Linked DNA regions of Rattus norvegicus. The protein of the gene in region 1 binds, or shares a complex with, the protein of each later gene. Links are inferred from orthologs where the notes say so. Each region holds a gene or a part of one and is shown in the gene's direction. Other genes may lie near its edges.

What was found.
Region 2: the proteins of Eed (region 1) and Ezh1 are in contact, whole or in part, in a cryo-EM structure (PDB 7KTP), measured with the Homo sapiens proteins. The link is inferred for Rattus norvegicus from reciprocal best matches to the Homo sapiens genes EED and EZH1. Residues at the interface, in NP_003788.2 of Homo sapiens: Cys84, Val85, Asn86, Ser87, Leu88, Lys89, Glu90, Asp91, Trp103, His104, Ser105, Lys106, Glu107, Val112, Arg120, Leu123, Tyr124, Gln129, Gly130, Glu131, Ile132, Arg133, Leu134, Leu135, Gln136, Ser137, Tyr138, Val139, Asp140, Tyr154; in NP_001982.2 of Homo sapiens: Gly37, Ala38, Lys39, Leu41, Tyr42, Val43, Asn45, Phe46, Lys48, Val49, Gln50, Lys52, Thr53, Gln54, Leu56, Asn57, Glu59, Trp60, Leu63, Arg64, Val65, Gln66, Pro67, Val68, Gln69, Ser70, Met71, Cys83, Thr84, Ile85.
Region 3: the proteins of Eed (region 1) and Jarid2 are in contact, whole or in part, in a cryo-EM structure (PDB 6C23), measured with the Homo sapiens proteins. The link is inferred for Rattus norvegicus from reciprocal best matches to the Homo sapiens genes EED and JARID2. Residues at the interface, in NP_003788.2 of Homo sapiens: Pro95, Phe97, Tyr148, Arg306, Asn307, Tyr308, Cys324, Asp362, Ile363, Trp364, Tyr365, Arg414, Asp430; in NP_004964.2 of Homo sapiens: Pro109, Gln114, Arg115, Lys116, Phe117.

The regions. Positions count from the first base shown.
Region 1 is NC_086019.1:153,304,584-153,308,918, reverse strand, and holds the start of Eed (polycomb protein EED), read left to right. Parts: upstream 1-1,418; 5' UTR 1,419-1,841; coding exon 1,842-1,955; intron 1,956-2,004; exon of another isoform or gene 2,005-2,283; coding exon of another isoform or gene 2,284-2,292; intron 2,293-4,335. UniProt on the Homo sapiens protein: Polycomb group (PcG) protein. Component of the PRC2/EED-EZH2 complex, which methylates 'Lys-9' and 'Lys-27' of histone H3, leading to transcriptional repression of the affected target gene.
Region 2 is NC_086028.1:86,628,455-86,631,328, reverse strand, and holds part of Ezh1 (histone-lysine N-methyltransferase EZH1), read left to right. Parts: intron 1-291; coding exon 292-470; intron 471-998; coding exon 999-1,094; intron 1,095-1,437; coding exon 1,438-1,519; intron 1,520-2,230; coding exon 2,231-2,311; intron 2,312-2,729; coding exon 2,730-2,814; intron 2,815-2,874.
Region 3 is NC_086035.1:19,990,887-19,994,535, reverse strand, and holds part of Jarid2 (jumonji and AT-rich interaction domain containing 2), read left to right. Parts: intron 1-602; coding exon 603-717; intron 718-3,246; coding exon 3,247-3,352; intron 3,353-3,649.

The DNA.
Region 1 (4,335 bases):
CACAAATTTGTTACTTGTCTATCAAGATTGTACCTGAGGGGGCTAGTGAGATGGCTCAGTGGTTAAGATCACTGGCTACTCTCTTTTAGAGGACCCACAGGGTGGCTTACAGCTGTTAGTAACTCTAGTCCCAGGGATCCAACATCCTCTTCTGACTTTGTATACCAGGCACAAATGTGAGGCACAGACAGACATACAAGTGAAACACTCTTCATATACATTAAAAAAAAATCTACAAGTGAAAAATTAAAGAATTTTAATATGATACAGGCAAATACAGTCACTCAACTAACAATTTACTTACACACACACACACACACATATATATATGTGTATATATATATGTGTATGTATATATATATATATATGTATATATATATATGCCTTTTACCTAAGTCTCACAAACTCAAGCAGTTGCTCACAATGATTTATAGGTCTTGTCAGTTTCCTAGAGCCTCAGTTTTCAACAGCTAAAAACATTTCGAATATAAATCATGGCAATTCAGAACCATGTAATTTTTACTTATTTTTGGAAACAAGGGTCTATAATGAAGCCCAGGCTGAACCAGAACTACTTGTGTAGACCAAACTGCCCTCTAACACACTGAAATCCACCTACCTTTGCCACCCTAGTGCTGGAATAAAAGGCACGCGACCCCATACCCTGTTTGATCCATACAAGTTTAAGACTTTTCTCAAACAGGTTTTTAATAAGATAGCCTTTGATTGGCTCGGACTTTCTTTTGCAGACCGGGATGATCTAAAGATTGAGGCGATCGGGCAGTACCTCTGTTGTTGCCTTTCAGATGTTGGATTACTGGAATGTATCATGCATCACAAAGTATTTTTACTTAAATCTAAAAATGTAATTTAAAATATAGGTTTACTTAAGCCAATAGTGGCACCAACCGGTTGAATATAACCACTCGTTGTACTAAGTATTTATTAGATAAAACATCTGCCCAGAACGTAGGCGTGTCCGTAGGCACTGATTTGGTACGGTTTTGAAATTCTCCCCAAGGTTTCAGAAACCGGTGGAAGGACTACCTGGTTCAGCAAATAAGAACGGAGAAGAGGAGGGGCCAGAGGAGGACGGTCTCCGTAACCCAGCGCGAGAATACGCCTCAGCGCATGCGCACCTCCAGATTGGAACCTTCCATTTGCCAGATGGGGGAGGCGAGCAGAAAACTGCCTATAGATTTTAAATCTCTACCTTCAAGAAAGAGTCTAGGTTATGCGTTCCGTGAACACTATCTCTCGGTTGTTCTTCCAAACCCCGCATCAGGGACTCTAGACACGGACACCTAAAACAAGAGGTGACTTCTCGTTTCTCCCCCCTCCCTCTGGGGCAGTGGTGGTCTGATCCAGGCCACAGACTTTCGCTCGTTTGCAGCGGGTCGGAGATCGAAGGTTTGAGCCAATTGCGGACGAAACGTCTGGGCAAGGAAGGGGGTGAGGGAGCAGCCCTTTGAGTTCCGCCTCCTCTCTAGGCGCTGGTGGGGAAGGGGGACTAGGAAACCCTGCCCTCTGAGCCAGCAGGTCCGACGCCTCGGTGCAAAGTGCCGAGAGGGCGGCGGGAAAACCGCCCGCCGGGACCAGGGGACGGGAAGCAGCCAGGAAGCCGTACGGGAGGGCGCGCGCGCGCGCGCCCCTTTTTCAGCAGTGTGGCGGGGTCGCACGCACGCCCGCCTCGGCGGCTGGGCGCGATTTGCGACAGTGGGGGGAGCGGCGGCGGTGGCGGTGCCGGCAGCTTTGCGGCAGGCTCCGGCCGGGCGTGCTTGACGGCGGTGTGGCGGAGGCCCCGCCCGAGGCGGCAAGAACCTGGAGGGAGGCGGAGGAATATGTCTGAGAGGGAAGTGTCGACTGCGCCGGCGGGAACAGACATGCCGGCGGCCAAGAAGCAGAAGTTGAGCAGCGACGAGAACAGCAACCCGGACCTCTCGGGAGACGAGAATGTGAGTGCAGCCCCGCCTGTCCGGGACTGTGGAGTAGAAGTTTCAGGTTCTTTGGTAACTGCGGTCGGGGCGGGCGGGCTGCCGTGGGGGGAGGGAAAGGTGTCACCCCGCGCTTGGGAGAACGCAGGCGTGCGGGGAAATCCAGTTTGTCTGGGGCATTCGAGGTGGAACTGCGACTGATAGCAAGCAGAAAGTTGGCGAGGAGCGGATTAAAGGTCCTGAAGGTCTGCGAGGTCCGCTCAGATCATCCCTGCGTGGGAGAGGGAGTTTGTTCCTTTGGGGGACTTGACGGTGATTGCGAATCTGAGATTGTACTAGTTTAAAAGGCATGCTGGAGGTAAGAGATTCCGTTTTCCCAGAAAAGTTGGTAGGAGGGGTCCTCCTAAGGATTTGAGGGGTTGTGTCACTGTAAAGCACTACGGAATCTTAAGGATGGAAAGTATATAGATCTCTGGCTTGAGTTTATGTGACCGTGTGGTTATGTGTGCCCTTTTCCGTGGAAGTGCGGTGTTGTGGTCCTTAGTGTCGACTTTTCTGTAGTAGGAGCAGGATCGAGAAGATAGTGGAGGGGGAGCCACCTTTGATTAAGGCAAGTGAGGGAACAATTTGAAAGTTTTTGCTTAATGTAAAGGGATTGGGAGATTTCAGGCCACTGTGGTAAAGTCTGTATTTGAGCCAAGTGTGAAGATTAAGTGAAGTCATAGTGCTTAGAGAAATGCTGCCCCGTAAAAAATAATATGCAAGCGTTGTGAAAAGTACTAGACACGTGTTCTAATAATTACTTATATTATGATAGGGTAGGCTTTGGCCTTTCGCATAATTACTCAGAATTTAATGAAAATGTCAAATTTATTTATAATGAGGAAATTTGTCAGGGGAAAAAAATTAAATGGAAGTTCATTTTATTTTCCTAGACTCCTAAAGTACATTTTTTGATGGTTTCTAAAGCTTTCTGAGACCGAATGATTGGGTTAGCTTTGGTCCCTTCTAAAAGGGGCAAGACTGAACGTTTTGGTATGTGTGTCTTTGACAGATTATTGAACCCTTTGGGGTCCTCTCAGAATGAAAGGGTTCTTGTTTGTTTGTTTGAGTTAGAATCTCCCAGTGCAACACAGGCCCACCCTCACACCTGATAACCTTCTTACTTTACTCTCAGTACCTAGAATACATTCGTTCACCACCATGTCCTGCAGAATACTGTGGATATATAGATGAAGCATATAAGATTACAAACCAGACCAAGTGTAAAACTTTAAAATATATTTAACTTTTTAAAAAGGCCAGAGGCATAAAAGCTCATTTGTAAAGCACATGCCTGACATATAGGAGGCCCCAGGTTCTGTTCTCATCAAAAGATGTACTTCCCCCCTGTTGTATTTTATTTTATTTTATTTTTTAAGTTTTGTGACAGGGTCTCACTTTGTACTCTTGGCTAGCCTGGAATTCAGAGATCAGCATGCCCCTGCCCACTAAATGTTGTATCAAAGATTCGAGGCACAGCAACTGGTTCCCCATTTAGATGGAGTAATATATGTATTAACACAGTAAATTGCAGGTTCTGATTGATAGAAGTGATAGGCTGATTTTTCACGACCCACAACAATTGTGATACAAGATAGACTTTTAACTGGAAAATCCAAAATCTGAACTTTTTGCATATAAGAAGAAACAGATAAATGTGATTTTTCTTTTTTTAAATCAGGATCCTGTTATTCCCATGCTGGCTAAGATCCTTCTGCCTCTGCCTCCCAATTGCTGGGGAAACAGATGCCTGGCTGAAAATGATTTCAATTTAGGAGTCCAATTTAAGCACAGTTTAAATTTCCATTAAAAGCTAATTGTACATTTACATCAAATTGCAGTTCAGTCACTTGTTAGTCACCTGCTTTGTGTCAGGTACTTCATTCCTTGGTTTTTTTGTTGGTTGGTTTTTTGTTTCGGAGTCTCATAGGCTGGCCTCAAACTCATGGCTATTCCCCTGCCTCAGCATTCCAAGTACTGGGATTGTAGGAGTGAGACACTATGACTAGCTTCATATCTATTTGGTGTTATGTTCTAGAATATTGTATTTTCTTAAAAGACATTTTATTTTTGACCAAGGTGAAGTTTGAAAAAGAACTAATGTTTTCTAAATGAATTAGTGGCTTTTAAATATCTTTTGACACGTCTATTTATTTTTAACCTATTTATTTTTTGTAATACAAAACCAACTTTAGGAAGCCGTAACTTAAGATCACAAAAGCAGTGCAGACTTCATGGGCTTTCGCTCTAACAGCTGTTAGACAAAATGGTTCCTCTGGAATGGATTTAGGGACTACTATTGCCCCAGGGTAATAGATGGAAGTTTTTGTATTCCAAAGAAGACTTAAGTATGGTTCTG
Region 2 (2,874 bases), on another chromosome or scaffold:
CACTGGGGTTCTAAGCACAAGGTGCTCCCATGCCTGATTTTTGTATATGGGTTCTGTGGATCAAATTCAATTCTTCCTGTTTACATGGTGAGTACTTTACCAACTGAGCCATGTCCTGAGCCCTGAAAGAGACACTTCCTTGTCTAAGGGGAAAGCCAGATGTTCAAGAGAAGGAGCCTTCTGCCTGTTGTGCCGAGTCCTTGGTTGGCCGTGTCACATTCACTACTCTGCTGTCCCCGAGTCTGACCTGTGTCAGTGCGGGCTTCCTAACCACCCCATCTCCTCACTCAGGCCAGAACCGCTTCCCTGGTTGTCGCTGTAAGACTCAGTGCAATACCAAGCAGTGTCCTTGCTACTTGGCCGTTCGTGAGTGTGACCCTGACTTGTGCCTCACCTGCGGGGCCTCAGAGCACTGGGACTGTAAGGTGGTGTCTTGCAAAAACTGCAGCATCCAGCGTGGCCTCAAAAAGGTGAGGTCTTTTCTTGGGTCAAGATCATAGTGGGAAAGAAGAAATGTCCCCAGATGTCGTTGTTCCTTTGGCTCCTCGGAGGGGTTGTATGTAAAAGTGCTTGACAGATTTTGCCAGTGGTCGAATTAATCTAATTTTCCATTCTACGAAACGGAGCAAAGGAGTACGCACCATTCTGTTCCCCTTTGGTGTTGGATTGAAGTCCAGGTCTCTACACATGGGAGACGAGCCCTTTACCTCCAGCCTCTGCCTTCAGGCCCAGTGTAGCCCGTGCTACTGCCTACATTACAGTGTAGCCCAGACTCAGCCCCAGAGGTCCCCAAGGAAGAGGAAGAAAGTATCCTATTTCCTTACCATTTCCAGTTTTTCTTACCCCCTCAAGCGTGAAATGGTTTGGACCTTTTCTGTTTTCAGGTTCCCCTGACAGTTGGTAATTCTTTCCACCTGCCCCCATCACACACGTGCACATAAAGTACCCACACCCACTCAACCCGCCTGCCATCTAAGGCTTGCCTCCCTCTCCCCCAGCACCTGCTGCTGGCCCCTTCCGATGTGGCCGGATGGGGCACCTTCATCAAGGAGTCTGTGCAGAAGAACGAATTCATTTCTGAATACTGTGGTGAGGTGAGTGTTCCAGGTTGAGCCCGTGTTCTTACTGGGAAGATACTGACAAGAAACTCTCTGACTTTCTGTGGCTGAGGCTTCTGTGAATTAATTAGTCTCTAAATAACTCAGCCCAGTTTTCATGTGGCCTCACAGGGAATCCCACAGAACTGTTTGCAATCCTGAAACAAACCACTGTTTGTCAAGTGTTGGTGTCTGACTCTCTCTAGCCTTCACCCTGATCAGCTCTGGGTAGGGATGGGGCTAGCAGGGTCTTGCTCTCCAGCACTGCCCCTTCCCGGTTCCTACAGTGTCATACCTCGAGCGGGCATGACACCCTCTTCTTCCTTGTTTGCTCCTCCAGCTCATCTCTCAGGATGAGGCTGATCGACGAGGGAAGGTCTATGATAAATATATGTCCAGCTTCCTCTTCAACCTCAACAATGGTATGGCATGGCCTTCTGTACCAGGGTGATCATGTGCAAGTCTTTACACTAAGCAACCTTTGCTGTGATCCAGGTTTAAACCACACTGAGTCTGTCAACAGATTTTTCTAACAGAATGCTAAGCTGAGCTCTGAGGCCTCATTGGATATGCTTCATTTCTGAGTTCTGCTTGGAGTGGGAACAGTGGACACTTCCACTTGAGATGCTACCCCAACCAGTAGATGGGAGGAGGTCTAAAATTCAGACGGAGGACCCACAGGGGATGCCCCCACCTGAGGAGGCAGGCTCTGCTTTTCCCATCTCCTTTAACTATTCTGGGCTTCACACTCCCATTAGACTACATTGTTTCTGTTACCACTTAACTGATCTAAACTAGAACTAAAGAAGTGGGGGGTTGAAACTAGGCACATTTTTCATGTCTAATCCCAGCATTTGCAGGCTACAACAAGAGAACTACCACAGATGTGAGGCCAGCCTGAGACACAGGGGATCCTGTCTTCAACAACAAACAAAAACAGGCATATTTTTGCCTGTTTTGATCACAGTGGTACATACATGTGATCGTAGCACTGGGGAGGCTAAGGCATGAGGGTTACAGTAAGTTCTAGGCCATCCTGGGCCACAGAGCTAGACCTTGTATACACCCCCCTCACTCCCCAAGTATAGAGATTCCTGGGACACTCATGATTTTCTTTGATTTATGTCATGTAGATTTTGTAGTGGATGCTACCCGGAAAGGAAACAAAATTCGCTTTGCAAACCATTCAGTGAACCCCAACTGTTATGCCAAAGGTGAGTGAGTCTTCAGAGCCTAGGGAGCGGGCGGGCTGAGTGAACTCCTCACAGCCTGTGATGTTTAGCTGTCATTCAACTTTCAAGGCTGTGTTAACCATTTTCCAAGGAGATTCTTGGTGGCCTGGCTGCCATCATTTTAGGCCTCTCCTTTCTTACTTGGCGTTTTCCACTGACTACAGTAAAAACGCATTCTTATAACCATGATTCAAAAGGTCACCATTTCCCCAAACTCACTGTTGGAATAGCAGAGTCAAAAGCAGAGAGATAAGTGCCTGCCTTCTTGACTACATTCTATTTCCATTTGATCCTCTTGGGAATTTGGAGAAACCAGCCCAGTATTCTGAATGCAGGCTTGCCCTGTCACTAAGTAGGAAGGCTTGGAAGCTAGCCTAGGCTTGTCCTCTCCTCTCTGCAGTGGTCATGGTGAATGGAGATCACCGCATTGGGATCTTTGCCAAGAGAGCAATTCAGGCTGGCGAAGAGCTCTTCTTTGATTATAGGTGAGGTGGTTGGGAAGGATGCAGAGTGACTGTTGGAACTGTTTTGGGGCTTGCAGCAGC
Region 3 (3,649 bases), on another chromosome or scaffold:
ATGACCTTATTAAACCTCACACTTGTCTTCCAGCTTTCATGAGGACAAAGCCGGGCTGGCCCACTACAGAGAGGCCTGGGGCCTTGGGCACCGAGTACAAGCATTGACCTTTTGACTTTTGGAGGATGCCCACGTGGCTGAGGAGTCTCGTTCAGTGTATGGACACAGCTTTCCAGTCTGAATTCTGACTCCTAAAGGCTGGTTTTGCTAGCAGCCACCATAGGTGTTCTGAGAAGTGAAAGCTGCTTCTGATTTAGGCAAAGCCACCCCATGGGGGTTCTGCTTGTTATGAATTCATTGGGCCTGGAAAGGGAAGCCTGAGAGACACACCCCCCCCTCCCCTGTCTAGGAACCATAGATCCCACCTTGCTCACTGTGGGCAGCAGCCCTTAAGCCAGGCCTCTCTTCCCCTGGAACTTTGCACACTCATTCTCCACTTAAGTGTCCACAAATACTCAGCCCGAATATAAGACCATCTGTTGCAAGTGGGGAAGAGCAGGCAGCTTTCTCTTACTGCGTTATATCTGGGAGAGGCAGAATCCCTCATAATTGCTGTCACTCTGAAGGACTGTTGCTCTAAATGACCTCTCTTTATGTTGTAGGAGTGACTATTCCCTGGCTAAATATTGGCATGGTCTTTTCTACCTCATGCTGGTCTCGAGACCAAAATCACCTTCCATATATCGACTACTTACACACTGGTGCTGACTGCATTTGGTGAGTACGCCCAGCAGCAGGTACAGCAGCCTCAGGGAGCTGTGAGGGGCAATGCTCCTGTAGGGAGAAGAGATGTGTTTTATCCCTAGCCAGTGACTGGGCTTTCACTAGTGCTTCTCATGTTAGAGGCTGCTGTCTGGTGAATTGCCTGCTTACTCTGCATTCTCACCCCTCCCCCCACCCATTATATTTTATGGAGTTCTTACAGTGATTTCATAACAGCACTCATAAACAGCGCCATGGGGGAGACTGGTCTGGGTGGCTTTACCTGAGTGGGCCTTTGTTTGCAAGACCTCCAGAGCTAGTGTACCCATGTGATGCTGGTCAGAAACTGTCCTCATGAGGTGTGTGACACAGTATCTTCTCTTTGTTGGACCTCTACTCATGGCTGAGCTCTCTGGTTTCTGTGTTGACAGCTGCAGATGGGGGTTGACTGCATATCATAGGATGTCCTATCATCTCATAGTCTCGCAGCCTGCCGATCTCATGGTCCTCTACCTTAACTCTGCTTATTGGCCCAGAGGGATGATGAAATATTCTTTCTTAAATAGAATCTTCAAATGACATTTCCCCAGGAGCCCATGTGGCAGCAGCCTGCTACTGTGGTGTAGTCTGCTCATGACCTGATGGAGTGCTGTGTGCTGAGTGTGAGCTCAGGAGATACAGTGGGAGGGACCTGCTGGGCTGAGGCTGTGGTGTAGGCTGCCATGTGGAACCAGATCACAGTGGTCGTGAGGCAAAGGCAGATGGCAGCTGTGGAATGTGCCACACATGTTCTTGTGACATGGTCAAGTTCCTGCCTCGTGCAGATGCTCTGGTGGTTGGCACTGACCTGTGGCCAGGCATGTGAAGATGTGAGCGTTATAAGCAGGGTTTCCATTGCTGTGAGGATTCCCCTACAGTTCCAAAAGCAAGCCGAGGAGGAAAGAAAGGAGTTATTTTATTTGTCTGATGCTTCTATATCACTGTCCGTCAGCAAAGGAAGTCAGGACAGGACCTCAAACGAAAACTGGAACCCAGAGGCTGGAGCTGATGTAGAGGCTGTGGAGAGGTATTGCTTACTGGCTTGGTCATTCTTCTTTCTTCTTATAGGGGTAGCCTGACCTACAATGGGTTGGGCCCTCCCCCATTAATCAGTAATTATTAAAATTTCTTGTAGACTTGCCTACAGCTGGATCTTATAGGGGCATTTTCTTGAGGTTCCCTTTTCTCCGATGACTTAGCTTGTGTCAGAATGACATAAAATTGTCCAGTGAGTGTGAATGCAGGTTTGTTTTTGTAGCTTGAATGTGTCGTTGGAGGAGTTGAAACTTGAGAGTGTGTGGATGAGTCCTATCCCTGGGGTCATAATGACATAAAAGAAAGCAGAGCCAGAGATATGATTGGTTTTTACTTGCTATTTCAGTCACGAGTCAGTAGTGGTACATATTGGCTTTGATATAAATATTTGGGTAAAATGTGCCTGGTACCTTCTGAAACCAAGATTTGCCACAGAGATAAATTGCATGATACATGGCTGAATATTGGAGCTGTTGTTTGCCAAGCTTATATAAGGTGCTGTGTAGGTATGGAACTGAGTAAGGGGGCCTGGCAGCTTTGTCTTTGTTCCCGTGATCACAGTATTGATAAGGGGCTCTGGCTTCAGCAGCCTCAGGTCCTTTTAAGACCCCAGTGTATGTGACAACCATTTGCCCATTTAGACTGCTGGCCCTGCCCGGTGCCTGGCTCTCTGTCAGTCACAAGTAGGCTGTCCTTCACCAGACTGTTGCTCTAACCATGTAAAGTAACCCAGATAGTCATGTGCTGTAGTTGATACTTTTTTGGTGGCAGGCTACCTGAGGTATCGAGAGAATGTCATGAGTGAGTGAGGTCTATCTAGATTGTCCCCTTGACTAAATCACCACATTTCCAGCTTTTTCTCCCACTCTAGCCTCCTTCCTGTCTTCATAAGGTGCTGTCTGTCTGTCTGTCTGTCACAGACCCACAGCTCTCCCATGTAGGCTTCTACCCTCTGTCTCTTGAGTGTCGTTCTAACAGAGGCTGGGTTCTGACATCAGTAGAGACAGCAAAAGTCCCCAAGTCTTTGAGGACATCCCCACTTTTCTAACAGTTGCGGCTTTGGCTGGTTATGTGGTTGGTGTGTCCCCCTGACCAGTAAGTAGGTTCGTAGTAGTAGGACCTCTAGGTACTATGTTTTCCCATCATGAACAGCATCAAATCTTGTTCCTATACTTGAGAACTAGGCCATTCTTGGCAGCATCAGAACTCACCCAGGATGAGGGAGCGTGCAGTTGTGTCTGTTTCTGATTTATAGAGGACTTCACTATCTGGTTTTGGTTTGGACTTTTGGCTCACTCTGTGGGGCAGATGGAAAGTGAGTAGTGTGTAGAAGGCTGTGCCTGTGGCTTGGCTGTGTGCTGGGCAGAAGCAGCCAACAGCAGCAGGGCAGGGCACTGGGCCAGCCAGCTCTCCAGCCCAGCTGCTCCACAGAGGACTCACCAAGGGGCTCTCGTGTTTCCAACACCCCAGGTATTGCATTCCTGCTGAGGAGGAGAACAAGCTGGAAGATGTGGTCCACACCCTGTTGCAGGGCAATGGTACCCCAGGGCTGCAGATGCTGGAGAGCAATGTAATGGTAGGTCTGTTACTTGCCTACTCAATGGTTTAGGGACTGAAAGGGATTCTGTTGTCAGCTCCTGACAATGCTGGATTGGGCCTGGATGTGCTCCAAAAGGCTTTATTTACGGGCCTAAGGAGGAAGCTGTGTGCTCACCATGGCCTCTGCCTTGCTAGAGAATTGATGTCAGCATTAGGCTATCATGATTGTCTTGATATTTTCTGAAGGATTATAATAATCTGGTTGGTTAAGCAGTCCCCCCATCAACTGAACTTTCACATAACCTTGGCTGGTGTCCTGTGCCATACAGCAGAG